Danio rerio: one gene and its partners. The protein of the gene in region 4 purifies or fractionates together with the protein of the main gene of each other region. This does not show direct contact. Links are inferred from orthologs where the notes say so. Each region holds a gene or a part of one and is shown on either strand. Other genes may lie near its edges. The genes, in order: igf1ra, top1a, pola1, pcna, dclre1a, xrcc1 and cdk4.

Region 1 (3,500 bases), on a different chromosome or scaffold from region 4:
ATATCGTGAAAACTGTGATAATTTTATCCAAGGTTATCATATCGTCAGAATCGTATACCTATAACTAAATAAACCTATTTAACATTTCAAAATCAACTGTATGGTGAGATTCCGCCGTTTCTTACCACATGGTGACAGTTGAACTCCTTCATAACTGAAGCTTCGTTCAGGAACTCGATGCGTTCACGTACGCTGGCGGATTCGTTTACAGTCTTGATAGCCACTCTGGTCTCAGGTTCATCTTTAACGACACCCTTTGCAATGCCCTCATACACCATACCAAAAGAGCCCTGGCCCAGCTCACGGCACATGGTGATCTTCTCTCGAGCCACTTCCCATTCATCTGGCACATACACTGAGGTGGCAGAAACAGAATCGGCAAAATTGTAATATATATAGAAGATCCTATAACATATTCTGCCAATCATGACGATTTAATGACTGAAGAATATTAGATAAATCTTTATAGCTATATAATTCCAGCAATAGGGATTACTTAATCATTTTCCTAATGATCATATGTATAAGTTTTGTCTGTCAGTAAAAGCATCAAAGTCAATATAAACAACAAGGTATTAGTTTTTAATAATTATTATTGATCATTTACAGTTATAAATGAAGTTATAATTATGTTTAAAACAGGAAATCAGGCACTGTCTTTGTATTAGTTTGGATTAAAAACAGCTAAAATACTCTTAGTTAAGAAAGTTATTTGAAATGCAACACAACCTGGTTTATAAACCTAATACTCACTTTCAAATGGACTGAAGTACTCGGGGTTCACAGAAGCATACAGCACACCATTTCCTATCCTGTCACTATTCCTGAAAAGAAGCATGCATAAAAACACAATAAAAAACAGTACTAGACAGTGGAAGTAAAAAAAGAAGTCTCGTATTTAATAGCTGGGACATCAACCTCTTTTTGGTCACAATGATGACAGCTACGATCACGAAGAGTAGCAAAAGTAGTACTATAACAGGGATAATGATGGCCACGTAGAAGGCATTATCATAATTCCCTGTAAGAGAGAAGGACAGAAAGATAAACAAAACATTAGACTGAATGCCTTGCATCACAAGCATTCCTTTAAAGAGAGTCATCAGTAAGCATTTTCTTAGGGCTAGACGATATGGTCAAAACAACTTTACATTTTCCCCATATCAGTCAATATTGATTATTATCACAATAAATGTCAAATATCTCTTTCTTTGAAATTTGTGGGTAGATTTTTGCTTCTGAGTGAAACCAGAAAGCCAACTGTTCATTTAAACTAATCTTTTAGACTACTATATTTTATAATGGTAACTATATGATGTATAAAAACTTTTATTGTGTAAACGTAAAATCTTTTGCCAGCCCTTGTTCTTAACAAAGAGTTAAAAAAATAAAATAATAATAATTATATATATATATATATATATATATATATATATATATATATATATATATATATATATATATATATATATATATATAATATAATTTTAAATATAGCGGGGAAAATAAGTATTGATAACATCACCATTTTCTTCTAAAAGTGCCACTGACTTGAAATTTGGATGTTAGAAACTACCAAAGACATCCATATATACAAAAGAAAAAAGTCTTATTAGTTTACAAATTAAGTTATGTGTAATTTTTTTGGCCTTTTTGCCTTTATTAGATGGAACAGTATTGAGACAGGAAGCAAAGTTGGAGAGAGAGAGGGGGGGTAGGGAAATGTCCACGAACCAGGATTCAAACTCAGGACGCCCTGACGTGCTACTGCACCATATGCCAGCGCACTAACCAATAGGCTTTTGCGCCGACAAGTTAAAAAATATATAAATAAAAAGCATTAAACACATGAAGAAAAGGAGCTGAAGAAAGGCAGTGAAAGACCAGACAGCAGCTGAAATCTCTCAGTAGTTATTCAGCCACCCTCTGTCATTGTAAATTACTGATGACCTTTCGTCATTGTAAATTAATATTAGCTGATTCAGTCCAACAACTGCATTATCAGGATGATAAAGATGAAACCAGGGTGGACATTTCAGCAAGACAATGATCCAAAGCATAGCCAAGGAAACTCCCAAATAGTCTTAGAGAAAGAAAATCAAGCTGTAGAATGGCCCAGCCAATCACCTGACTTGAATCCAATAGAAAATACAAATTTTGACCACTAGGCTATCGGAGGCTGCACGATATTAGAAAAAGCTGATATTGGGATACTTTATTTTTCTGCGATAAATATTGCGATATGAATACAGTTTCACAAGATAGTTTGAATAGCACCATTTGAACACTATTTCTGTGGAGTTTAACAGTACTCAGGTACATTAACTGTATAATCTACAAAGCAAAAAAAAAAAATGCATTTCTTACGGTGCTTAGTCTTGTTTCTAGTCCAAATCACAAAAAAATCTTTTAAAAAGTTAAATATTATTGTATTATTGTATTGTATTGTATTATTTATTATTATTTATTATTATTTTCAATTTCAGAAGAAACAAGTCAAAATTAAGAGTTTTTTTTTTTTAAAACAAGTAAACTTATCTGCCAGTGGGGTAAAAAAAAAAGTTTTTTTTGATTTGGGATGTAAATATTTACACTAGAAACAAGACTTTTGTAATTGTAATTGTAAGTAAGAAAAACATTTTTGTTTCCGTTTTTGCATAAATCCTGTATAAATACAGTAATTAACTACGATTCCGTAGCTTATATTTCTAATAATTCAGAATGAACAATGCATATCATGCGATGTGACTATTGCGAATGTGCACATTACAATATTGATGCTGAAACGATACATTGTGCAGCCCTACAACTATCGTTATTATTTTCTTGACAAACACTTATCCTACAAGTAGGCCTATGGGTGCATTTCTTACGTTTAGGGGGTGGCACGTAGAAGGACACTGGTTCAGTCCAAGACCCGTTTCCAGCCAGAGAAGTGGCTCTGACTCGAGCTGAATAATTTCCAGAGGCCAAATTGCTAAGCTGAGCTCCTCGCAGAACTTTGTACTGCTGTCGTGATACACATTCATGCTTCTCAGCCTGAAACACACACACGCAGACATACATCCTCAGTCAGTTGGTTTGTGGCTTTGGCTTTGGTTATAACTATTTCTTAATGGTGTACGAGTTAGTTGTCACACTAACCTCAGTTCCCAGACGATATTTGATCTCATACATGAGGATCAGTCCGTTGGGGTGAAGAGGTTCAGGCCACCGCAGAAGCACTATTCCTTCTCCCTTCTCATCCCTCTCCTGAGTCACAGAGCCGGGAATATCATCCGCTTTATCTGTAGAAGAACATAAGTATGCTCAAGGCCAGTGCTTTCTTATAGTAATTCAATAAGGTTTAGATTGCATTCAGGCTTAATTGCCGCTAACATGAACAGGAAAACTAATCCAAAAATCATGCTGTAGGCACAGTGGATATTAATATTTCACTGGCCTGAATATGCAGTGATTTGGTTTGTTGGTTTTTGCTGACCTGCCGGTTTGGTTCTGGA
Region 2 (3,500 bases), on a different chromosome or scaffold from region 4:
TGGATCTGCAAAGTGCCGGAAAAAGGACATTTGTGATCAGCACCATATCCCCGAATAAAATCAAAACAGACTCAAGACAAGGAGTCAGCCTACAATTACTTGACCATCAGAGGATGTGAGACTAACCATTTCCACTTCTCTTCTGGCTCCTTTTTTGCCTTTTTCTTGCCATCTGTGGCAACTTCTCCTTTCTTGTCTTTTGTTTTCTTTTTGGGCTTTATGTCCTATGGCAAATCAAAAGATTCAAAATTACTGACACCTTGGAAAGTGTAATCTAAAGAGATAAGCCAGTAACTTCATTAGTTTACCTCTTCCTCCTGTTTCCGTTTCTTTGCTTTCTTTTCACTTCTGTCATCCTCAGTTTTAATTTTCTTGGGCTTGTAATCACCACTGAATGAAACAAAACAAAATGTCAAAATGCCTTGCAACCACACACACACCGTTCAAATACCAGACAATCACTGTCTCATTCACTCTAATGGTTACCATTTTAAACAAAGATTAGAGGAACAGGGAGCTTTCGTGACTACAGAGGATTGCAAGTTTGTTTTAATGTCACAAGTGAGTTCAAGATGTCCTGCAAACACAATGTCACTTACTCGTCATCATCCCGCTCTCTCTTCAGAGACTTCTCTAGTTTAGGAGAGTGATAGAAGTCATCGCTGTCAGGTTCAGATTTAATGTGAGGGCTGTGTGAAGGATGAAAACCATTATTCATTTTCTCACTCACATGACCAAATAAGAGAAGCCTTTTAAATTGGCTCAAGATAAATTCATGTTTCTATTTATGCGATTACATCCATTCTGTGGATCCTAAAAGGGATCTTATCATAAAGAAACACTTTGATTTCTCTTAAGAATGAAAACATACAGTAATTCTCCAAACCCTTCAGCATAAGGGTGATTTCCGCAACATTTAAAGATTTTTTTGTTGTAACACTGTTGCTCTTTTACATGACTTCAAGATTTTGGGTGGTGTTAAACCACAAGCATTTAGAAAAGTATACAAAAAGACATGCTCATTATGTGAATCATAACAACAGTAGCAGAATATTTGTTCTACAACATGTTAAACTACTGGCCAAACATAAATACACTGGGATTTTCATATTTTGTGAGGATGTGTTATGAACCTGACAATTTCAACAAATTGCTAAAGGACCACAATGTACCGAAAATGAAATGGTTATGTTAACATACATCCATCAACTGAAATAGCTTCATCATGGCTGACATCGGAACACAAAGCAAAACAATACGTTTTTAAAATCATCCATTTTTCCCTGCTATAAATGTCAATTAAAAAAAAAATCAAAGACATGGAAGCACTTGAAGAGGAGTCATTCTCACTGTTAGGACAACCATTGCTTTTGACATTTGAGTGGCTTGTGTTTTGGGTCGACTGTTTACCTAACTTAAGTTATGACCCATTTAAGGGGTCTCTTATTATAGTGAAACTCAACTTACAGTTGCATCATTTTCAGTCACATTAAGGGCTCACGCTCACCTTGCGAATCCATTCTGTTTCTCTTTTTTAGGCCTGTCATCAGAAGACTTGAGGAAGGAAATGGAGAACAAAAAAAACAGAAAAAGGTCAATAACAGCACTCAATATTGTGTGAATCACAAAAGACTATTTACAACTCCTCCAGAGCCAGAGGATTGAGCTCAGATAAAACCGCTGCAATGTGAAAGTAACCGAGGATTCTGCCCACCCTTTCCTCCTTTCTCTTCTCTTTGTGTTTGTCCTTCTGCTTGTCTGAAGATCCATCTTTGAGCTTCTGCCTCTCTTTATCTTTATCTCTGTGCTTTTTTTCCGAGGAGTCCCTGTGTTCGCTGCCAAAATGCAATAAAACATGCCGTGATCTAATTGCCACAATGGCTTGGTCCATCAACAAAATCGGCTCCAAATAGATGATAGTGTTTACAAAGGAAGTTGCAGTAAAGCCAACATTCCTTCCTGTGGTCTGAACCCTAAAGGCCACACCCTGCTTATCAAACACACTCCATAAAGAGCAAACTGGGCTATAAACTGCCTATATATCTGCTGTAGGACAAAGTAGGAGACGTCATACCTGTTGCTGTACTTTGATTTCTCACGTTCTTTGTCTTTCTTGTGGTCCTTGTGTTTGTGTTCTTTGTCCTTGTATTTATCTTTGTGTTTGTGAGAATCTGCCAACAAAGAAATTAAAAATTAAGTAGCACATTCAAAAAGGAATGAACACCTGGTAACAAAAGTATGACCCTGAAACAGGAAAAACGAATTCAAAAGTGTTGTAAATCTGGAGTTAGACAGCATACAAATGATTTGATTCAGAAAGATGTACCCGTACACTGAAATAGTTTAGTGCTTTAGGTGAGCATAAATTAATCAAAAACAAGCAATAGCCCTTATAGAAAGCTACACCAGCAGATTTTGCACACACCTGAATGAGAAACGCATTTCAGAGAAACCTGTGTGAGCCTGCCAAACGCTGAAGACCATTTACAGACAACTGGTTTGAAATAAGTACAGCATGACACATTTAGGGTTGTCCTTGCTCGACCCACTGCAGACACATTGGTCACACCTTGTAGATTTTGGCACTTTACCTCTTGAGGTGAAATGTCCAGTTTTCACTCTCAGCTATGTATGGTGTTTATAAAGGGCCCCTTTCTGCACAGGGTCCAGCTAAGACTGTTTACTCTGAGAGGACTATTGCTTTAGGAAATGTGTAGGTTGGTGGGCTGGATTGGGTTACAAGAGGGCCACGCAGATCCTACTGACACTGTAGCGGACAGTGAAAAAGCTGGAGGTGTTTTATAACAGGCCTCCCAAAAGGCAAAAGCAAAATGATCTCCCTTTATTTTACGAAAACTAAAAGGAGGAATGAGAGTTGTACGAGAGTTTGGAATCCAAGCAAACTCAAATGTCATCCTTTAAGAGCACAGAAACAATGAACCTCAAGTTACAGTAAGATGCATTCAAGCATTAAGAGGGACAGAGTGCTCAGTTAGGACATGAAATCAAATCCTTTATCTTCCACAGTACGCATGAGCGCACTTCCAAACCCCACAACCCATCTAGATGTGTATTCTTAAACTCATATTCAGGTGTGCAGTAATCAATAATTGTGGTGCAACCTTCTCCCCTTATTTATAAAACAATAAAAATTCACTCTGCTCCAATCATTCACCATGTTCGTTTTGCCCTTCAGCAAAACACATGCACATCTGGGACTGTGGGACAACTTATTTGTGAACTGTACCCTCTAGTGGACAAGTTCATTGTCAGCAGAACTTACATGCTGGAAATGCATAAAAATAAAAAATGAACAAGTAATGAAGCTTGAGCCAATATAACTGATATAAGCCGTCTAACAAAAAAATAATTAAAAGGTAAAAGCTGGGTAAATGAAACAAATGAACACAAAATTAATCCTTCATCCTAAAATTACTTCAAAGTACATGCAAACCTAATGTAAAAACAGCCCTTGAACAGGACTGATGGGATGTGTTATT
Region 3 (4,264 bases), on a different chromosome or scaffold from region 4:
TTCTGGCAGCTTGGCGACGATCACTTCGTCGACTCTCTCTGTGGGTAGTTTCCATATCTCGTTGATGAGAAGTTGTGTGTTGTCTCGCGCTAAAGAGCGAAGACAGTCCTCCCGTTTGTTGCCTTTAAAGTCCCGTGTGTCAAGTCGGTTCTTGTCAAACGCCAGCAAAAGTCCCGGGTCGAATTCAAGATCCAACTCTTTGAGCACCGTAATACTTTTGAGCTTCTCAGCCTCGTCTCTTTCAGCTTTAGCGAGCACGTCTTCAATACTGCACGAAGCCATTTTGGTTCTACTGACAGACAACGTGGGTTCCCACATGTGCCGCTAAAAGCGGAAGTCTGGTATTTCAAAATAAAAGAACTAAAAACTAACTTAAAAAATAAAATAAACATTTCAAATGAGTTAAAGAAATATAACAATCTTTAAACATGTTTTAGCTAGTAAAACGTTTATCCTAAGTGTATATGTTTATGATACTAACTAACTTACTTCGGACGAAAGTTGTTCGGTCGAATGCAGGAGTAGCGATAAACCGACAGGACGTCCCATCGGCTCTGTGGCGCAATGGATAGCGCATTGGACTTCTAGATTGTTGAATGGGGTCATTCAAAGGTTGTGGGTTCGAGTCCCACCAGAGTCGACATTTTTGTGATCAGAATCAATAAAGTGGCCACATGCCAGAAGTTACCTGAAGTGCTCGAAGACATGATTCAAACGAACCTGACTCAGTGATTCAGTTTGTGGATGCGTGAATCTTATAGCCGAACCGAACCGGTGGGTTAAGCATACGGAGCAAATGGTTCGTTTTGATAAAATATTAAATTTATTTAGATATATATCGGTTCTGTGGATGTGTAACCTGGGACAAATGATTGGTTTCTAAATGCCAGTAAAACCTATAAGTGAAACCCATAGTTGTGGTAGAAATATTGATTTATTTATTTTGTTGCAGTTATACACACGCACGGTTGTATTTGTTTTATCATCGACCACTACAAATATCTAAAAATAATTAATTATCCTTAATAATACTTAAATTGTGTTTTTGGTATGATTTTAAAACTGATTTTTTGGATCTGTTTGGATTATATTATTACTGAACAAGTGATACTGAACTGATAATATGATTTCTGAACTGATGCCAATGTTATTCTTGAAAATTCTAACAGAAAAAATCTGGAAATTGCCTCTGCATACAGTATGCAAACAAAAACAAACTTGTTATTATTATTATTATTATAATTATTATTATTATTATTATTATTATTAGTAGTAGTAGTAGTAGTAGTAGTAGTAGTAGTAGTAGTAGTATTTGCATTACTGTTCAGTTACGCAAACAAAATGATCTTTAATTGTAAAATAACAAAAAACTCAAGTCTCCGATATAAAAAAATGAATGTGCTAAAAAATACACTGAATAAAGTCTGTCTACAACAGTTCGAATCAACTTGTTCAGATTGGTCGGCTGGTGAGAACGTCATATCCGCTGCTCGAGTTTCCCCGGGAAGACACTTTGGCGCGGAAATCTGTTGTTTTGGCTTCGCCCTTTGTAAGGAGAGAGAAATTCTACCTCGACTCAACCGCATTTTATATCAATGGCTCCTGTTTCAAATCCCGATAAAGACATGGACGGCGGAGATTGTGGTGAGCGTGTTTACAGGGATTAGTGTTGTTAGCTAACACAATATTCCAGCTTTCAGCTTAGCGGATGCATGTAGTGTACTGACAGCGCTAATGCAACATGAAATACAATACATTACATTGATTTATCTGAGCTAACTTAATCGTTAAAATATGCAAATACATTACCGTGTATCATCATTTTGTCGAGTAAACGTGATGTTTCGGTCCTTAAACATGAAGTTTGAAGCTGAACATGTCAGTATTAAGGCTGACAAATGTTTCTCAGTTCTCAGCTAGCGTTAACGTTACTCTTTCCTGGATAATACTTTAGTGCTTCTTTGGAAGACGTTTATGTAACATCCCAGCGGATGCCCAGCACTGGAAAAAGAAAATTAATAAATCATAAACAATAATAATGTAATATACAGTGACATAATAACACTACTACTACTTACTGCACTACTAACACTACTACTACAATATAATAATTATACAATTAAAAATATTCTTATTGCCACAGATGAAAATATCCTTTATAATGAAACAATATTGAAAAAATATGATATAATTATAAATATTCTAGTCACTTAAATGGTCTTTTTAACAAAGAAGTTAGCAAAATTTCACTGAATCACATTTGTGGATTTATATATATATATATATATATATATATATATATATATATATATATATATATATATATATTTTTTTTTTTTTTATGCCACATTTGTTTATGCCTTTAGATGCATCCGACACATGTGGCATTGCCGCCTCACGTTCCAGAAGGGAGAAAAAAGAGAAAGTCGGGCGCAAGTCTGCTTTAGAGCAACTTAAAAGAGCCAAGAAAGGAGAGAAAGTAAAATACGAGGTGAGATTCAGCTGTTTGTACATTTCATCTCTGCTGTTTCAGCGCTTTGACATTGTGTTGTGATCAGGTGGAGGAGTTCACCAGCATTTATGATGAAGTGGATGAAGAGCAGTACTCGAAAATAGTTCGGGAGAGACAGGATGATGATTGGATCATTGATGACGGTCAGTCATATTTTCATACTTCAATCTCCAATATGCAAATTTCAGTGTTTAATTGGTTGTCAGATTAATGTGCCTGTAAAATGCTGGGTTCTACACAATTCATGTCTTCATGTGTCCCAACACAAATCGTAGGGGTGTCAAAAGTAAATAAAACGCTCCTACTACTTATCCTACTTGATAATTATGAACAATTCAACTGCTTGTGAGTTTGTTGGAAAGTCTTTCATTGACACTAAAGAAGGCACAGCACACAAGCCACTATTTCACTACTTTTCACTACTCTCTTCTAAAGCCAATCGCCACCTTTTCTGTTGAGTGGGCGAAGACAACAACCAATCATATGGGTTTAAGACCTCGCTTGACAGTGCTCAAAAAGCAAGCGGGATAATATTTACATTTAGTTTATTTGCAATAAATGCTCATGCTGTTTTCTGTGCATGTGTTTGAGTTTTGTTTGATACATTCAAAAAGAGTGTTTTCCTTGAGCGGGTAAAATAATAGTTACTGTACATATATCTTACTGCTTGTTTTAAAGGACACATATGTATTACAAATAATCTAAATATAAATATATTTATAGATTTTAATGAAAAAAAAAATCTTGTGTTGTGAAGAAAAACTCTAATTCTGTATGGAAGGCATCGTCAATGCATTGTGATGCACAGAGATATCGAATTGAACCCTATCGATGGCATGATAAACATAACCAAACCATGAGACCAGTATAGATTCACACCCCTAACAAATCAAATTTAACATAATGGATTTTATAAATTTAAGATGATTTAACATTGAAAGTTGTCTTTAAAAAAACTCAAGAATTGAGTTGATTCAGCTCATTTTAAATAAGTAATTTAAACAAGCAGCAAAAATCATTTTTTAAGTGTGTGTCTTTTATCAGATGGGACAGGTTATGTGGAGGATGGCAGAGAAATCTTTGATGAAGAATTGGATGATGATGCATTGGGCCCTAAAAGTGAGTGTGGGAAAACCAGCACCTTTTATTTAAATTTTGTCAATTTGCAATATTAACCAGTGTGTTTGTGTTTTATTTAAAGTTGTCTTTACCAATTAATTATAACTTTATTTATATGTGAGCAGGTAAACAGGCTGCAAAAGGAGGTGATTCGAAAAAGAATGTGAAGAAATCATCTGTCAGTAAACCCAACAGCATTAAAAGCATGTTTATGAACAGTAATGTAAAGAAACCTGCGGAGGTAAGAGCTTTTTTAATTCACAAGATGCTTCTGTTTGTAACTGGCCATTATATTAACTTTTTTTTGGTGTGATTTTATAAAATTAAAGATTGGTTAAACCAAAAAGGAAACTTGTCAATGTTTGTAATAAAAACCCAAGTAAGGCAAGTAAGGTAATGCTTGACTAGTGTGTAAACAGAATTTTGTTTACCCATGTTTGCATTGTAGAAACATGTGGATTTGTCTCAAGATGATCTGCTGGGAGATATTTTGCAGGACTTGCACTCTGAGGTGAATCATTGTGACATTTTGTAATAAATGGATGTCTTTCTGCTTTTAATACAAGCATGCTACAGGTGCTTTCAATGTTGTTATTCATAACTTATTTTACACCTCATATTCATTTGAATGTT
Region 4 (3,949 bases):
TATATATATATATATATATATATATATATATATATATATATATATATATATGCTCAAGTATCCCCAACTGTATCCCTTCTTTTGTTTGTGTAACACATATATGTATGTATGTATGTATGTATATATATATATATATATATATATATATATATATATATATATATACATACATAAATGTGTTACACAAACAAAAGAAGGGATACAGTTGTGGGATACTTGATCATGCGCACATCAACATAGCATGATTTTTGTGACACAACAGTATTTTACGTTACTGTGATGGGTCGATTTAGGATTTGGGTAAGGTAGACGTTATTAAAAAGCATTATAATGGGTATTCATAAATATTATAAGTAGTTATTGTTAACTGAAGACCGCAGCTATATCCTTTAGCAACAAAACATGTGTTACACAAAAAGTTGCGGATACTTGGGCATGCGCACATCAACATCAATCGTTGGTACACTGCACAACAATAATTAATATTTTACGTTACTGTGACTTGTCGATTTAGGGTTTGGTTAGGGGTATACGTTATTAAAACGCACTGTAATGGGTATTTATAATTTTTATAAATAATTCTCGTTAACTGCTGACCGTAGCTGTATCCCTTCTAGCAACAGCACAGTAATTTGTCACAGAAACAAAAAAGGGATACAGGTGCGTATACTTGGGCATGCGCACATCAACATAGTCTGATCTTTGGTAAACTGCACAACAATAATTAATAATTTACGTTACTGTGACTGGTCAATTTAGGGTTTGGTTAGGGGGTATACGTTATTAAAACGCACTGTAATGGGTATTTATAAATTTTATAAATAATTCTCGTTAACTGCCGACCGTAGCTGTATCCCTTCTAGCAACAGCACAGTAATTTGTCAAAGAAACAAAAAAAGGGATACAGTTGTGGATACTTGGGCATGCGCACGTTGACATAGCATCATTTTTCACACTGTACGACAATATATAATATTTTACACCACAGTGACGGGTCAGTTTAGGGTTTGGGTGGGGGTAAAGGTTATTAAAACGCACTGTAATGGGTATTCATAAATGTTGTGAATAACTCATACCTTCTGACCAAATTGCGCCCTCTTTTGGTCAGTGTCCGCAGTTCTGTCTGCGTTCCAGGAGGAGTCAAACGTCAGCGGAAATGACGAAGGCAACAGTGGGTCAGTTTAACAAAATCCCGGCGAAAGCGCGCGCAGTTACATTCAGAGCCTCGCCAGAACAGTGGACAGCACATCTGCACCGTGCCTCCTCTGCATTAGTACCTGCTAAACTCTAGGATAGTTTAGGATTCTGCTTTCCTGTGCTGGAAAACAAGCAGTTAACCAGGCCGCAGCTTGTGTCGTAACAGGATTAGATAACTTTAGTTCCTCCTACTCTAAACTAAGAAAGCAGCACAATGTTTGAGGCACGTCTGGTTCAGGGATCTATCCTTAAGAAGGTCCTGGAGGCTCTGAAAGACCTGATCACCGAGGCTTGCTGGGATGTGAGCTCGTCGGGCATTTCTCTGCAGAGTATGGACTCCTCTCATGTGTCTCTGGTGCAGCTGACGCTCCGGAGTGACGGGTTCGACTCCTACCGCTGCGACAGAAACCTAGCCATGGGGGTCAATCTGAGCAGGTAAAATCACTGACTAAATCAAGCGCCTTTTGTGTTATTTGACTCGTATTTACTTGGTGAGTGAAGTTTGAACATGTCTGCGCATGCCCGGGGCTGCGCCTCTACACAGCAGCGCGCCATTTTTAGACTATAAAGTGACAAAAGTATTTTATTTACAGTAGTTGTTATTAAAGTATGCCGTTTTACGGTTGTGTTTTAAATAGGCTATCAGTTTAATTTGGCGCGCAGTTTCCTGCATTCGTCCCACGCTCTACTGATCGTGACGTCACTTGCGCGCGCTTAAGCTTGTTGGCGGGAAAGAAAATGCCGGGTTGCTGAATGACAACATGGCTCTGGTGTTAGACAAAGAAAACCTGCTTAGACACTTTTTGTGTATGCCATGACTGTTTCGAATGTAAATGGTAAACCATTTTACGATCAATATGGTGTTTTTCTACCTGAAGTGAACGTGTTTTGATTATTATTCATCTGTTTCCTAGCATGTCGAAGATTCTGAAGTGTGCTGGAAATGAAGACATCATCACACTCAGAGCTGAAGACAATGCTGACGCCTTGGCACTGGTCTTTGAAACGCTCAGTAAGTTAACTTCTTTTTAAACTAGGAATAGCAATACTTTTGATAGTGTACAATTAAAAAAAACTTTTTTTTATTATGAATTTATTTTATGTTGCTAAATTTATATTTGCAGTATTTTAATATCGATTTATCAGCAATACCTGTTAAAAACATGGGCTTTGGTTTAAAATGAATCATTAAAGTTAAGCTAAATAATTAATACTTAATATTTAAAAATAATTTTCTAATAATAATTTTCTCCAAAAATGTAAGAATGAAATTCGCATAGATACTGGAGCCATTTTGTGGTTAATAACATCACATAAAAAAAATGCTTCTAGTATGGATTTTCTTCACCATGTTATCAACTATTACTATGAAACCAAAAGTTAAGTTTTGCTGGAGAGCTAATAATCCATACTAATATTTACATCTCATTTCAGATCAAGAGAAAGTGTCCGACTATGAGATGAAACTGATGGATCTGGATGTGGAGCAGCTTGGCATTCCAGTAAGACTTTATTATAACAGGGTGTCTGCAGGGTCATTAAAAGTTGATAAATCAATTTGGTATTAAACAGCCTTAACTGTTGTTTTACAAGATATAATTGTTTTGGTCATTTTATGATTATATAATGTGTAGTTGTGTGCTAAAGTTTGCCTAAATTTAATCTGTGTGGTTTATGAAATTGATAAAATCCTGCTAGATTTGGCATCACACTGCTTTGTCTACTGCAGTAATAAAGGCAAGCCTATGTTTCCTGCTGTTCTATAGGTGCCATCTGTTGGGATTAGCATTTTTATTCAGTACATGACCGATTTAGTTTAGGATTCGTTTCTTACAATCAGTATTTAGTAAATATACTACAAGTTGAATTGTCACCAATGTTAAGTTAAAACCTAAAATGGCGATGAGGTCTTAAAGTTTATTGAGTTTCCCTCTCTTGATTCCTGTTTATTTCTGATATGATCGTGGATGTTTGTCTGCAATGATCATGCTTTATTCTCTTCCCCTCAGGAGCAGGAATACAGTTGTGTGGTGAAGATGCCGTCGGGTGAGTTTGCCCGCATCTGCAGGGATCTGTCACAGATTGGTGATGCTGTCATGATCTCGTGTGCCAAGGATGGCGTGAAGTTCTCTGCCAGCGGAGAGCTGGGCACAGGCAACATCAAGCTCTCACAGACCAGCAACGTCGACAAGGAGGATGAAGCGGTAACATACTATTCATTTAAGGCTGCACGATACTGGGAAAAATATGCAATATATATTCTATAATCAAACATTTCTCTGAAAAAGTCAATTTAATTAGCTGTTTTAAAAAAATTATTTCATGATTTTGCAATAAACAAGTAAAATATATTTTCCAGATCTAATTCAGACTTAAAACTGTCAAGATGCAAACCTTTAGTCTTTAAAGCACTATTAGTGAGAATCATTTTTTAGCTCTGATTTCACCTTTAAGCCAATCCAGCCAATAGCAGAACAGCAACTACTTAGGAGGCGGGGCTAAAGGTAGTAAAGGCCCCATCTGATTGATCAGATTTATATAATAAGCAGCTTTATTTTCATTTAGCACCTTTAAAAGTAGCATCTCGGGGCACTTTACAGACATAATGTGCAGCTGTTAAAGATGCATACAGGATGAATGCAAAAAAAATGCAATGAATATAATCAAACGCTTACAATAATAATAAATCTAAAAAGCTACCCTAAAAGAGTAGGTTATAAGTGATTTAATAATTATCTGGGATTTTATCAGA
Region 5 (2,775 bases), on a different chromosome or scaffold from region 4:
CTTAAATTCTTCATTTTGGATCTCTAATGAAATCTAACGAATCTCTAAAATTTCTAATATAAAATTGAATAAAAAAATAGAGAGAAAAATATATAATTTTTTTGCAGTGCTAGCAACATTTAAATCATCAATCAGTCCCTAAGAATTTATGCCTTCTGCTCTGATTAAGCACATTTCTATGGTTTTAAATTGTGGAAGGGTGAATAACACTTCTTACAACCCACAGAACCCCAGCAGTATAATTGCTATTGCTTTGAAATCTGTCATGTTGATACACTATCCAAATGTGTTTGATTTTTTTTTTTTCATTTTGAGATTCAGATATTGAAAAAAAAAATCTAAATCTAATCCTGAAACACTATATTTTAAAGACTTTACTGGAAAAATGTTGATCTGGATGTATAATAAACATAAAAAATGCAAAACCATAAAAAATAACAGCAACATTCCAATATACGAAAAGCAGAGTTATTAGTAGCATTTGAAATAAGTTTAATTGATTTATTTATATTTATGTTATTAATCACGTATAAAACCATCAGATTTAAAAAAAAATGCTCTAAAAGAGAGCATACAGTATGTGGTCCATTTCAGCATTAGCTATACTGGCAAGAAGAAAAACACAATAGTAAAAGTCAACACCTTTAACCTTTATAGCATTGCACTTAAAAGGCAGATTAGAAGTCATTTTGTTTTCAAATATAAGGCAGATGCCAAAACCAACATTTGGTCCACTGAATAGAACAAGTCCAATCAATAAAAGGCACCATTAACTGTGGTCAGTAGATTTCATTGTTGTTGTCAGTTTACTTATTGCCTTGTTCCACAGCTTGAGCTTCTGAGGGTGCAAGGTGTTGAGCTGAGGTTTCTGGGTTCAGTCATCCACTCATGGAAGAAGCCCTCCATGGCTTTCCTGCTCCTCCAGCTGCCCACATTCACCGTGGGGATGATCTTTTTCGGCCGTAGCCACTGAACAAATCGTTTCAGCTCCAGAAAACTGCTGTGCTCGCTGTAAGGAATACCTGAAATAGATAATTATAGAGTAGGCAATGGCTCTCAAACTCTTGGAGATGCTCAGAAAAAGCTATTTATACAAAAATTACTCTGCCACAATCAAATACGGACCAACAATAAGCATGCTTACACTATTTATACTACATAATGATGCAAAATAGTGCATTCACACTGAAATAAATGCACTTTTCAACTGATCTATCAGATTCTGATTTGACTAATTTAGCCATGATTAAACATCGCCTGGGAGGCAGTTTGAATTTCTGTTTAGTAAAAAATAACACTAAACTACACACAGTGTATAAGTGTATATACTGTAAGTGCATATACTGTGGTATGTCATACACTGTAGGACGAAACTAATAATTTATGAAACTGCTGTTTAAGCAGTCCATTATTTTGCAATTATATGGTATATTTGTGTAAAGGCCTAACAAGCACAAATTCCCACGAAAACCCATGCTGGACGTCTCAGATTCCAGTGGAGTTTGTGAAATGAGACGCATCTACTGCTTGAGGCAGCACCTGGTACGGCTGCAGACCGCTGATATTCTGAAATTAAAACCCTGGGCTTGCAAAACCTGACATCTTGAGTTTTTCACTGGGTCAAATCACATCTGCTGACTCTGTTAATATAAGAACATGATGTTCTTAGCCTGAAATGACATTCAGCATTTCTAACAACAGCAGGAAAAAAAAAATCAATAAAATGTAATTACATTCCTCATACGAATCCATTAGCTATAATCTTGTCAGTTAGTGGAACAGAATGACAAGGCTGTGTTGTCTCTACACCCAAAATCAGTTTAATGGAAAGCAATCCTCTTTAAGATCTTATTCAGGAAGGGAAGGCGTGACAGATATCAATAAAATACGTGTTTTCTGCATTTTTGTTTTATTGCTGTAGGCTGAGCATTACGCAAAATGGACAACCTTATAAAACCACATCAAACCGGCCATAATAGATGCCAAAAAGGCGCAAAATGATGAGGTGTTTTTTATATGTTTTTTCAAAAAAATGTCTTGTTTTCTTTTTGATTTGAAATGACAAAAATATGCACTCATTATGCCCAGGGCTCCTAAATATACCAGATAAAACGGACAGCATTTGAATGCATAAAAACAGTATTACCAAAACAACACAATTTGATGTACATGCACTTCCCTTGATTAGGGTTTGTTTCGAGTTGCAATTTCAGTTTCAAAGTGAAGTGACCCAATTTTCTCAAATTATTACATATAAATATAGCCCTACGCTTGAACTCTTAACTGGTTTTACCAAAAGCCTTGCATGTTAACATCTAAGTAGAACTGGGTGATTTCACCTAAAATCTAAATCTCCATTAATTGAATATTTTAACTCGATTACGATTAATGAACGATTATTTTATTCATTTATTTATTTTTTTGCCCTCAGAGTTCACAGACAAGTTTTGTACAGTGAATATGCTCACTTATTACAAGTGAGAGACTTTTCAATGAAGGGTGCATTACTTGATTTTAAAAATAATTGAAGGAGACACACACTATCTACTATCTATGATTATTTACTGAACATCAACGTTGAACAACTGAAATTAAAACACATATTGTCTGTTTTTTTCTCATAAAAAAGTGAAAATAAATAACTTGCACTTTTGGAAACAAAATTAATTATTTTCAATATAACAGTGCAGTTCTTGCATTTTGTAAGCAATCATTTTAATGTAATGGAAAAAGTGGAAAAGTAACACAATAGTAACAAACAGAGCCTGCTCATGT
Region 6 (3,500 bases), on a different chromosome or scaffold from region 4:
TCAACTGTATAAAATAACGAATTTAATAATGTTAAAGTATTTGATAGCACTTCATTTGTACCTCTGCTGCTGGGACTGGTGCCCATGCTGGATCTTGCTTTGGCTTTCGGTGTGGTTTCGGCAGATGCAGATGAACTGGGCTTCTTGGCTGGTGGACCGGAAGCTTCCAGACGCTCTTTACTGAACTCAAACTTTCGCTTCACGGGAGCCTGTGAGAAATAGTAATAATACCTTTTATTTAAAAGGCACCTTACTGGCAACTCAAGGACACCGTACAATAAAACAAGAACAATAAAACAACAAGAGGAATAATATAAAAGTATACACGACAATAGTGCAGATGCAATCAAGCATTAAAAGCCACGTTCAATAAGAGATTTAGTTTGGGCAGCATTTTGGCTCAGTGGTTAGCACTGTGGCCTCACAGCAAGAAGGTCGCTGGTTCGAGTCCCGGCTGGGTCACATTTGGCGTTTGCATGTTCTCCCCGTGTTGGTGTGGGTTTCCTCCAGGTGCTCCCATTTCCCCCACAGTCCAAACACATGTGCTATAGGGGAATTGATCAACTAAATTGGCCGTGTGTGTGTGTGTGTGTGTGTGTGTGTGAATGAGTGTGTATGGGTGTTTCTCAGTACTGGCTTGCAGCTAGAAGCGCATCTGCTGTGTAAAACATATGCTGGTATAGTTGGCAGTTCATTCCGCTGTGGCGACCCCTGATGAATAAAAGGACTAAGCCGAAGGAAAATGAATGAATGAATTATTTAGTTAAAATAAAAGTGTTGTCTTAACCTGTATTACAATGTTTGAAAATAAAAATTGTTCTTGAAATAATAAAGGTTTAATAATTTCACGTCTGATCAGAGGAATGCCTGAATATCCTCAATCTTACATCAGGTCCAGCGTCTTCATCTCTGATTGTGCTGAGATTCAGTTTCTTTAGCTTCAATTATAGAAGATGTAATGCTGTAAAAGGTCAATAATCCACGCAGACGAACACAGAATATCTGCCGCTTCAGCACAGGAGCGTCTGTGAGCTGAGAGATGATTTATGCACAGCAAAGAGTGGCTCTAATTTAATAAGGGAGTAAAATGTTACTATAAAATTTTTTATTATGGAAAGAACAAAAGCAAAGAAAAATACACTTACTAAAAACTTCAATTTTATTTAGCCCAACAGTTCACACATTACTGTCTGGCTAGTTTCTGTCCTCTGCTTATAAGCTAAAAAGGCAATAATGGTCCAACATTCCTGACCATCATCAACAATAAAGCCTAGAAAAACAGGCCCTCAGTATAATGTAAACTGACAGGTTCAAATCTTTCTTTCCAAATATCAAAGAAATAATTTGTTCCTTATTTATAGTTTTGCAACTATTAAACTGTTTTAAATTCAAAACTGTAATATATATATCAGTGTAAAACCTATGAATGGTGGAGAAGCATATTCTGTAATCGTGTATCTGGGTCACTTTTGCCATGACCTATTTTGGCTTTAACAAACTCATCCCTCAGGTTTTTCCAAACTTTTTTCTAGCTAAGAATTATTGATCATCTGGTTCTCCCTATAATCACGCGTGGACGGATCATAAAGGTGTCTGTACAGTCGTACCCGTTTCAGACAAAATCTCTTCAAAGTCTTTCATATTCAACTCAAATGAAACGCGGCGCTGCGCAAACAATCGAGTCTCAAAATTATTCACCCAAAGCGAACCTCTGCATACTCTGCGATGACGTCACATTGAGTTCAATAACAGTAAGCTGATTGGCTGTTGCATGTTGGTCTCATTTGTAGTTGTAATACCGCATATTACATTTGGACTAGTGAAATAAAGAACTACAACACCAAGCAACAACAACAAAAGAGTTTAAATGAGCATTAGATGTAGCCTTACATGGACATTGGAAAAATAAGACCTGTGCAGAAATATTTAAGACCTACAACAGCAAATTTAAGACTTTAAGGCCTAAAATTTCGATTTTTAAAGACTTAAGACCCCGCTGAGACCCTGTACAATACAAATGCAGTACCTGCTGTGTGTCGCTGGCAGGTGTGTGTGTGGACGAACCCTCAGTCTTCAGCGCAGCAGCGGCGTAACTCAACCTCTCATTCGGAGGAGAAACTGCAGAAAACAATCATGTAAGACCATTATATTATTTACTGCAGCATTTCAACTCATTTGAAAACTTGAACCTTTTTTGTGTAATGCCATATAAAGGTAATTATGATTCATGTTTTAATGCCTTACTGAAAAACTACAGTTAACAAACCATGCTGTTTTCAGGCACAGAATTAAAAACAATTAAAAGACAACTGCAACTTTTTGATTTTGACCAGATTTTTACTAAACCCTCTTGTTGTCTATAATTCTGTATAAAATGTTCACCCTTTGGGTCAGAAATGCCCCGCCTTCACTAAACTTCTAAAATAAATAATGTAAAAAATGTAATGTTAAACCTCAACTGTGTTTAGCATGAAGAAACAAACTCACCTTCATCACACTCTGTCAATGTTTGGGTTTTCCCTCATCAGTTTGCAGTATTTCAGCAGTGTTCACTAGGGTTGGGTATCGTTTGGGTTTTTTTTCGATACCGGTGCTAAAATCGATACTTTTAAAACGGTACCGGTGCCAAAACGGTGCCTGAACTGATACCTTTTAGCCACAAAATGATTTTAAAAAATTTTTTAAATAAATAAATAAATAAATATATCTCCCGGATGCCCACAAACGAATGATAATCTCCCAGAAATCCCACCCTGTCCTCAAATACATCCCCCATCCACTCCTACTCTTCAGATACATCGTACACATCCCATGCTGTGATGCGAACGGAGCCATCTCCACTATCTAGTTATGACCTCTCCTGGAAGCTCTGCATGTCTTCTGCAAATTCATACCGGCTCCGTGATCCCCCAAAATGAATTAAAAGAACACGGAAATCATGGCGACGAGAGTGAAGGAGACAGAGAACAGATCGCGAGAGGAGCAATGATGGTCTAATAATTTTGAAGCTTTGGTGTTGCTGCCTTTATTTTTGATGTATTGTACTCTCTTCTCCTGGGGGCCTGAGCACCCGTTTGAGATTATGCACATATTATGCTTTTTTTGCACATAAATATACCTGTGCAACATTAATATTAGAATTGATATTAATAATGGATACCTCCCTACTACGATAAGTGTACAGTACTACGGTGCTTTACCCTTCAGTCCAGTGCTGGATTTAGCTGAAGTGTCCCTGCTGAAGAACAGAGCTCCAGGCTGCACGTTTGACCCAGCAGAAGGAGACTCGTCTTTAACTCGGAATTGACCCAGCTTGGTCAGCTTCTGTGAGGGAGGGAGAGAGCAGACAGATGTTTAATGTCACCCATTCATTTGGAGTATGTTATAAATTGTAAGATTAAACGCCTGTAAACATTAAGGGTGCTTTCAAAGTGAAGAACGGGGGGTGGGGGGGGTGTTGCACGCACGCAAAGTGAAAAGCGGGGGAGGAAAAGGCGAAG
Region 7 (3,879 bases), on a different chromosome or scaffold from region 4:
GATGGAGAACGAGCACTGAAGGGTCAGTTCACCCACAAATCGACATCTACTTAGGGTTATCTCTCCCTCACGGGGTCTTTAACCCATCTTCTGTTAAACATTAAGAAGATATTTAGAAAAATGTTGAACACCAGCAACCATTGACTTATATACTATTTGTTTCTCCTACTTTAGATGTCAATAATTACAACATTTTTCCAAATATCTTCTTTCATGTTGAACAGAAGAGAGAAGCTCCAACAGGTTTCAGACCCCCTGAGGGAGAGATAAGCGCCAGTAGATGTTGATTTGTGGGTGAACTGACCCTTTAAGCCAGCGGAGTCAAACTCAGTTCCTGGAGGGCCGCAGCCCTGCACAGTTCAGCTCCAGCCCTGCTCCAACACACTCACCTGGAGCTTTCAAACAAGCCAGAAGGACTCAATTAGTGTGATCAGCTGTGTTTAATTAGGGGAAAACTAAACTGAGCAGAGCTGCGGCCCTCCAGGAACTGACTTTGACACCCCTGATTTAAGCTCCTCTTCATCACAGAGCAGATGAACACACACACACACACACTCAGGGAATGTTTATCTTCAGTCTGCTGGCTTGTGTGTGTGTGTGTGTGTGTGTGTGTGTGTGTGTGTAGAGCAGCATCACTCGCTGAAGAAGGGATGATCCAGAGCGTTCAGCGCAGAGATCCTCTTCAGCGGGTCGAAGGTCAGCATTTTCTGTCAACACAAGAACACAGAGCTGTCAGCGCGTCTCTCACATCACTCATGCGTTTAGCATCTCCTGCTGAACACGAGCGGTCAGCAGATCCAGGTGACCGATGCAGCATCACTCTCTCCTACAGCGCCCTGCGTCTGAGCTGTGTGTGTTGTGCTCAGGGTTATCTGTCGGTGTGTGTGTAAACGTACCAGCAATAGCTCCGCCCCTTTCTCTGTGATGTCCGGAACGCAGTCTGTGATTGGCCGAGGGCTCTGAGGGCTGAAGTTGTGGTGGGAAAGAGTGACGTCTGTGGGCCACTGATCCTCCGCCGGCAGACCGATCACCCTGAGGGACACACTGATCCGTCAATAACACACCTCATCTCTCTGTGTGAATGTGTGTGTGTGTGTGTGTGTGTTTGACATACGCAAAGATCTTCCCCAGCTGGTCCGCCTCTGAATCTCCGCAGAACAGAGGCCTGAAGAGGAGAATCAGGACAGAATCATCAACTCAAGCTCACAAACCAGAGGACATACAGCAGCAGATCTGCAGCCGCTGACACACACGCGCACGCACGCACGCACGCACGCACGCACACACACACACACACACACTCTGCTGAGACTCACTTGCGTCTGAACATCTCGGCAAAGATGCAGCCGGTGCTCCAGATGTCCACTGGTGTGGCGTATGTGCTCTGCAGGAGCACCTCAGGAGAGCGATACCACAGCGTCACCACCTGACACACACACACACACACACACACACACACACACACACACACACATACACATCAGTATTTGTGTGTCAGCAGTGTGTTCACAGGACATTGTGTGTCTCTGTGTGTGTGTGTGTGTGTGTGTGTGTGTGTGTGTGTGTGTGTGTGTGTGTGTGTGTGTGTGAGTGTCTCACCACCGGGGTCAGTGCCATGTGGCAGCTGTAGATGCGCGCCAGCCCGAAGTCCGCCAGCTTCACCTGCCCTCTGCTGGTCACCAGGATGTTCTCCGGCTTCAGATCCCGATGGAGAACTCGATTAGTGTGCAGGAACGCCAGACCACACAGCAGCTGCTGCATCAGGTCCTACACACACACACACACACGCACACACACACACGCACACACACACACATTACAGGAACGCAAGACAACACAACAACTGCTGCATCAGGACCTGCAGAACACACACACACACTCTCTCTCTCTCCATGTTATTCAGCAGGTGTTATCAGGGAATAACACACTGTTGAAGTGTCAGAAATGACCAATCAGCCCTCCAGACAGCTGTCTAATAAATACAATTAAAGCATGCTGTAATGCTTTATAAAGGATTATGAAGGCCCTGTGATATTGAAATAATGTGAGCATCAGTGTGTTAGTCGTGCTGATATCTATAATATCCAGAAACAGAGACGACATTCACATTGAGCAGATAGAACGTCTGCAGTTTGTCTCGTCCGCCTAAATGGATCAAGCACATCACTTCATACAGCAGTTTCTCATCAAATATCCTGACCAATCACACGCTCTCTCCTGTCTGGCATGCCCCGCCCTCTTCTTCTCATTGGTTGTTCATCTGATGCGCTTGAGCTCAACCACGTTTATACAGATGATGCCATCATTCATCACCGATGGCCGATAGACAACACGATGCTGAGCCGGCATCGCCAATCCTCCACCCCGCCCCGCCCCCATCGCAAACCCGCTCGCAAACAACACATACTCACAAACCCGCTCGCAAACAACACACACTCAGGCCCCGCTTACACTGACACAGCTTACTTTATACATGGCATGCGCTCAGCTGAGAAGACCCCGCTCTGACCAATTAACCCACAATATAACTGAACTATTGGTCAAACAATAAATATTCATGTGTGTGTGTGTGTGTGTGTGTGTGTGTGTGTGTGTGTCTTACTCTGATTTTGTCCACAGGCAGTCCCGGTGCTGGAACTTTCTCCAGGTATGTCCTGAGATCCTGATCCACATGTTCAAACACCAGCGTCACTTTAGTCTCCTGATCCGTCCTGAGGGTCGCGCACACGTCCATCAGCCTGAAACACACACACACACACACACAGATTACACACTTACAAAATGCCTGATCATAGACACACACACCCCGTCATCACGCACAGAGGACGCGACACACAGATTACGAGATCTTTCAGCAAAACAAGAACCTCAAACAAACAGTTGCAGAACTACTACAGTTCTGAAGGAGATCAGTGTGTGTGTGTGTGTGTGTGTGTGTGTGTGTGTGTGTGCCCATGAGTAATTGTGTGTATCAGTGATTGTGTGTGTGTATGTAACTGTGTGTGTGTACCTGACGATGTTGGGATGGTCGAACTGCTCCAGGCGCTTCAGCAGAGCCACCTCTCGAACCGTGGACAGTGGGAGTCCGTCCTGATTGGTCTGCACCCGAACGCTCTTCAGCGCCACAAACTGCCCGCTGTCCCGATCCCGAGCCTTATAGACGGTCCCGTAAGCCCCGCCCCCGATCTCTGCTACTGGCTCATACTGCAGCCCCACCTCCTGCGCCATCTGCAAACACACACACATTACTGTGCCATCACCTGATGCACGCGCACACAAGTTCCTCTGCAGGCATCATTACCTGCACAAACATACACACGCTCACACACCTGTACACACACACACACACACCTGTACATGTGCACACACTGCTGTCAGTATGTGTGTGTGACTCTGCTGTAAGACAGAAACATCAGTTTTAGCTGTATTAAGACAAACCTGCACACACACACACACACACACACACCAGTTTCTCCACATTTACTCAACAGCTCAGTTGTGTGGCGCTGCTGGTTGTGTAAACAGGCCACAAACACACAAACCCAGAGCCTGAAAGCACATCACCATCACTAGAGCCAGAACAACCTCGAACACACTCTGTGTGTGTGTGTGTGTGTGTGTGTGTGTGTGTGTGTGTGTGTGTGTGTGTTAATACGCACACTTTGATTCTCCTCTTTCTTAATATAAGACTTCTCTGATGATCATTAGTGTGACATACAGACATGTAGGCTGTCATTGATCTAAATAAACTGTACACACACACACACACACACACACACACACACACAGTAAAGCAAGCAACACTGCATTTCTGCTGCCCAGCGCTGCACCATTACAACATTTCCCCACAAAAAACTTCCTAAAATGTCAAAAATTGAC

Evidence for each region.
Region 1: the proteins of pcna (region 4) and igf1ra purify together in Homo sapiens (affinity purification with western blotting; 3 studies listed by BioGRID, with this or other methods). This does not show direct contact. The link is inferred for Danio rerio from reciprocal best matches to the Homo sapiens genes PCNA and IGF1R.
Region 2: the proteins of pcna (region 4) and top1a purify together in Homo sapiens (affinity purification with western blotting; 3 studies listed by BioGRID and IntAct, with this or other methods). This does not show direct contact. The link is inferred for Danio rerio from reciprocal best matches to the Homo sapiens genes PCNA and TOP1.
Region 3: the proteins of pcna (region 4) and pola1 fractionate together in Homo sapiens (co-fractionation; 3 studies listed by BioGRID). This does not show direct contact. The link is inferred for Danio rerio from reciprocal best matches to the Homo sapiens genes PCNA and POLA1.
Region 5: the proteins of pcna (region 4) and dclre1a purify together in Homo sapiens (affinity purification with western blotting; 3 studies listed by BioGRID and IntAct, with this or other methods). This does not show direct contact. The link is inferred for Danio rerio from reciprocal best matches to the Homo sapiens genes PCNA and DCLRE1A.
Region 6: the proteins of pcna (region 4) and xrcc1 purify together in Homo sapiens (affinity purification with western blotting; 3 studies listed by BioGRID, with this or other methods). This does not show direct contact. The link is inferred for Danio rerio from reciprocal best matches to the Homo sapiens genes PCNA and XRCC1.
Region 7: the proteins of pcna (region 4) and cdk4 purify together in Homo sapiens (affinity purification with western blotting; 5 studies listed by BioGRID and IntAct, with this or other methods). This does not show direct contact. The link is inferred for Danio rerio from reciprocal best matches to the Homo sapiens genes PCNA and CDK4.

What each region holds. Positions count from the first base shown.
Region 1 is NC_133193.1:22,286,746-22,290,245, forward strand, and holds part of igf1ra (insulin-like growth factor 1a receptor), read right to left. Parts: coding exon 3,482-3,500; intron 3,288-3,481; coding exon 3,145-3,287; intron 3,040-3,144; coding exon 2,874-3,039; intron 1,022-2,873; coding exon 919-1,021; intron 825-918; coding exon 754-824; intron 356-753; coding exon 126-355; intron 1-125. UniProt on the Homo sapiens protein: Receptor tyrosine kinase which mediates actions of insulin-like growth factor 1 (IGF1). Binds IGF1 with high affinity and IGF2 and insulin (INS) with a lower affinity. The activated IGF1R is involved in cell growth and survival control.
Region 2 is NC_133186.1:27,371,600-27,375,099, reverse strand, and holds part of top1a (DNA topoisomerase I, like), read right to left. Parts: intron 2,172-3,500; coding exon 2,075-2,171; intron 1,836-2,074; coding exon 1,715-1,835; intron 1,555-1,714; coding exon 1,508-1,554; intron 690-1,507; coding exon 600-689; intron 391-599; coding exon 309-390; intron 225-308; coding exon 127-224; intron 1-126. UniProt on the Homo sapiens protein: Releases the supercoiling and torsional tension of DNA introduced during the DNA replication and transcription by transiently cleaving and rejoining one strand of the DNA duplex.
Region 3 is NC_133199.1:27,759,874-27,764,137, forward strand, and holds the start of pola1 (DNA polymerase alpha catalytic subunit), read left to right. Parts: upstream 1-1,464; 5' UTR 1,465-1,595; coding exon 1,596-1,644; intron 1,645-2,366; coding exon 2,367-2,491; intron 2,492-2,558; coding exon 2,559-2,655; intron 2,656-3,556; coding exon 3,557-3,631; intron 3,632-3,756; coding exon 3,757-3,872; intron 3,873-4,079; coding exon 4,080-4,142; intron 4,143-4,264. Other genes in the region: rrs1 (ribosome biogenesis regulatory protein homolog), read right to left, coding at 1-282. UniProt on the Homo sapiens protein: Catalytic subunit of the DNA polymerase alpha complex (also known as the alpha DNA polymerase-primase complex) which plays an essential role in the initiation of DNA synthesis.
Region 4 is NC_133185.1:46,058,752-46,062,700, reverse strand, and holds the start of pcna (proliferating cell nuclear antigen), read left to right. Parts: upstream 1-1,149; 5' UTR 1,150-1,411; coding exon 1,412-1,632; exon of another isoform or gene 1,633-1,685; coding exon of another isoform or gene 1,686-1,717; exon of another isoform or gene 1,718-1,907; intron 1,908-2,111; coding exon 2,112-2,209; intron 2,210-2,631; coding exon 2,632-2,699; intron 2,700-3,206; coding exon 3,207-3,401; intron 3,402-3,949. Other genes in the region: E3 ubiquitin-protein ligase TRIM69, read right to left, coding at 1,686-1,717. UniProt on the Homo sapiens protein: Auxiliary protein of DNA polymerase delta and epsilon, is involved in the control of eukaryotic DNA replication by increasing the polymerase's processibility during elongation of the leading strand.
Region 5 is NC_133187.1:32,310,308-32,313,082, reverse strand, and holds the end of dclre1a (DNA cross-link repair 1A protein), read right to left. Parts: intron 1,023-2,775; coding exon 811-1,022; 3' UTR 501-810; downstream 1-500. UniProt on the Homo sapiens protein: May be required for DNA interstrand cross-link repair. Also required for checkpoint mediated cell cycle arrest in early prophase in response to mitotic spindle poisons.
Region 6 is NC_133191.1:58,607,718-58,611,217, reverse strand, and holds part of xrcc1 (DNA repair protein XRCC1), read right to left. Parts: intron 3,325-3,500; coding exon 3,201-3,324; intron 2,119-3,200; coding exon 2,027-2,118; intron 210-2,026; coding exon 62-209; intron 1-61. UniProt on the Homo sapiens protein: Scaffold protein involved in DNA single-strand break repair by mediating the assembly of DNA break repair protein complexes. Negatively regulates ADP-ribosyltransferase activity of PARP1 during base-excision repair in order to prevent excessive PARP1 activity.
Region 7 is NC_133186.1:160,555-164,433, forward strand, and holds the end of cdk4 (cyclin-dependent kinase 4), read right to left. Parts: intron 3,229-3,879; coding exon 3,011-3,228; intron 2,739-3,010; coding exon 2,603-2,738; intron 1,768-2,602; coding exon 1,600-1,767; intron 1,427-1,599; coding exon 1,317-1,426; intron 1,166-1,316; coding exon 1,115-1,165; intron 1,033-1,114; coding exon 897-1,032; intron 708-896; coding exon 633-707; 3' UTR 501-632; downstream 1-500.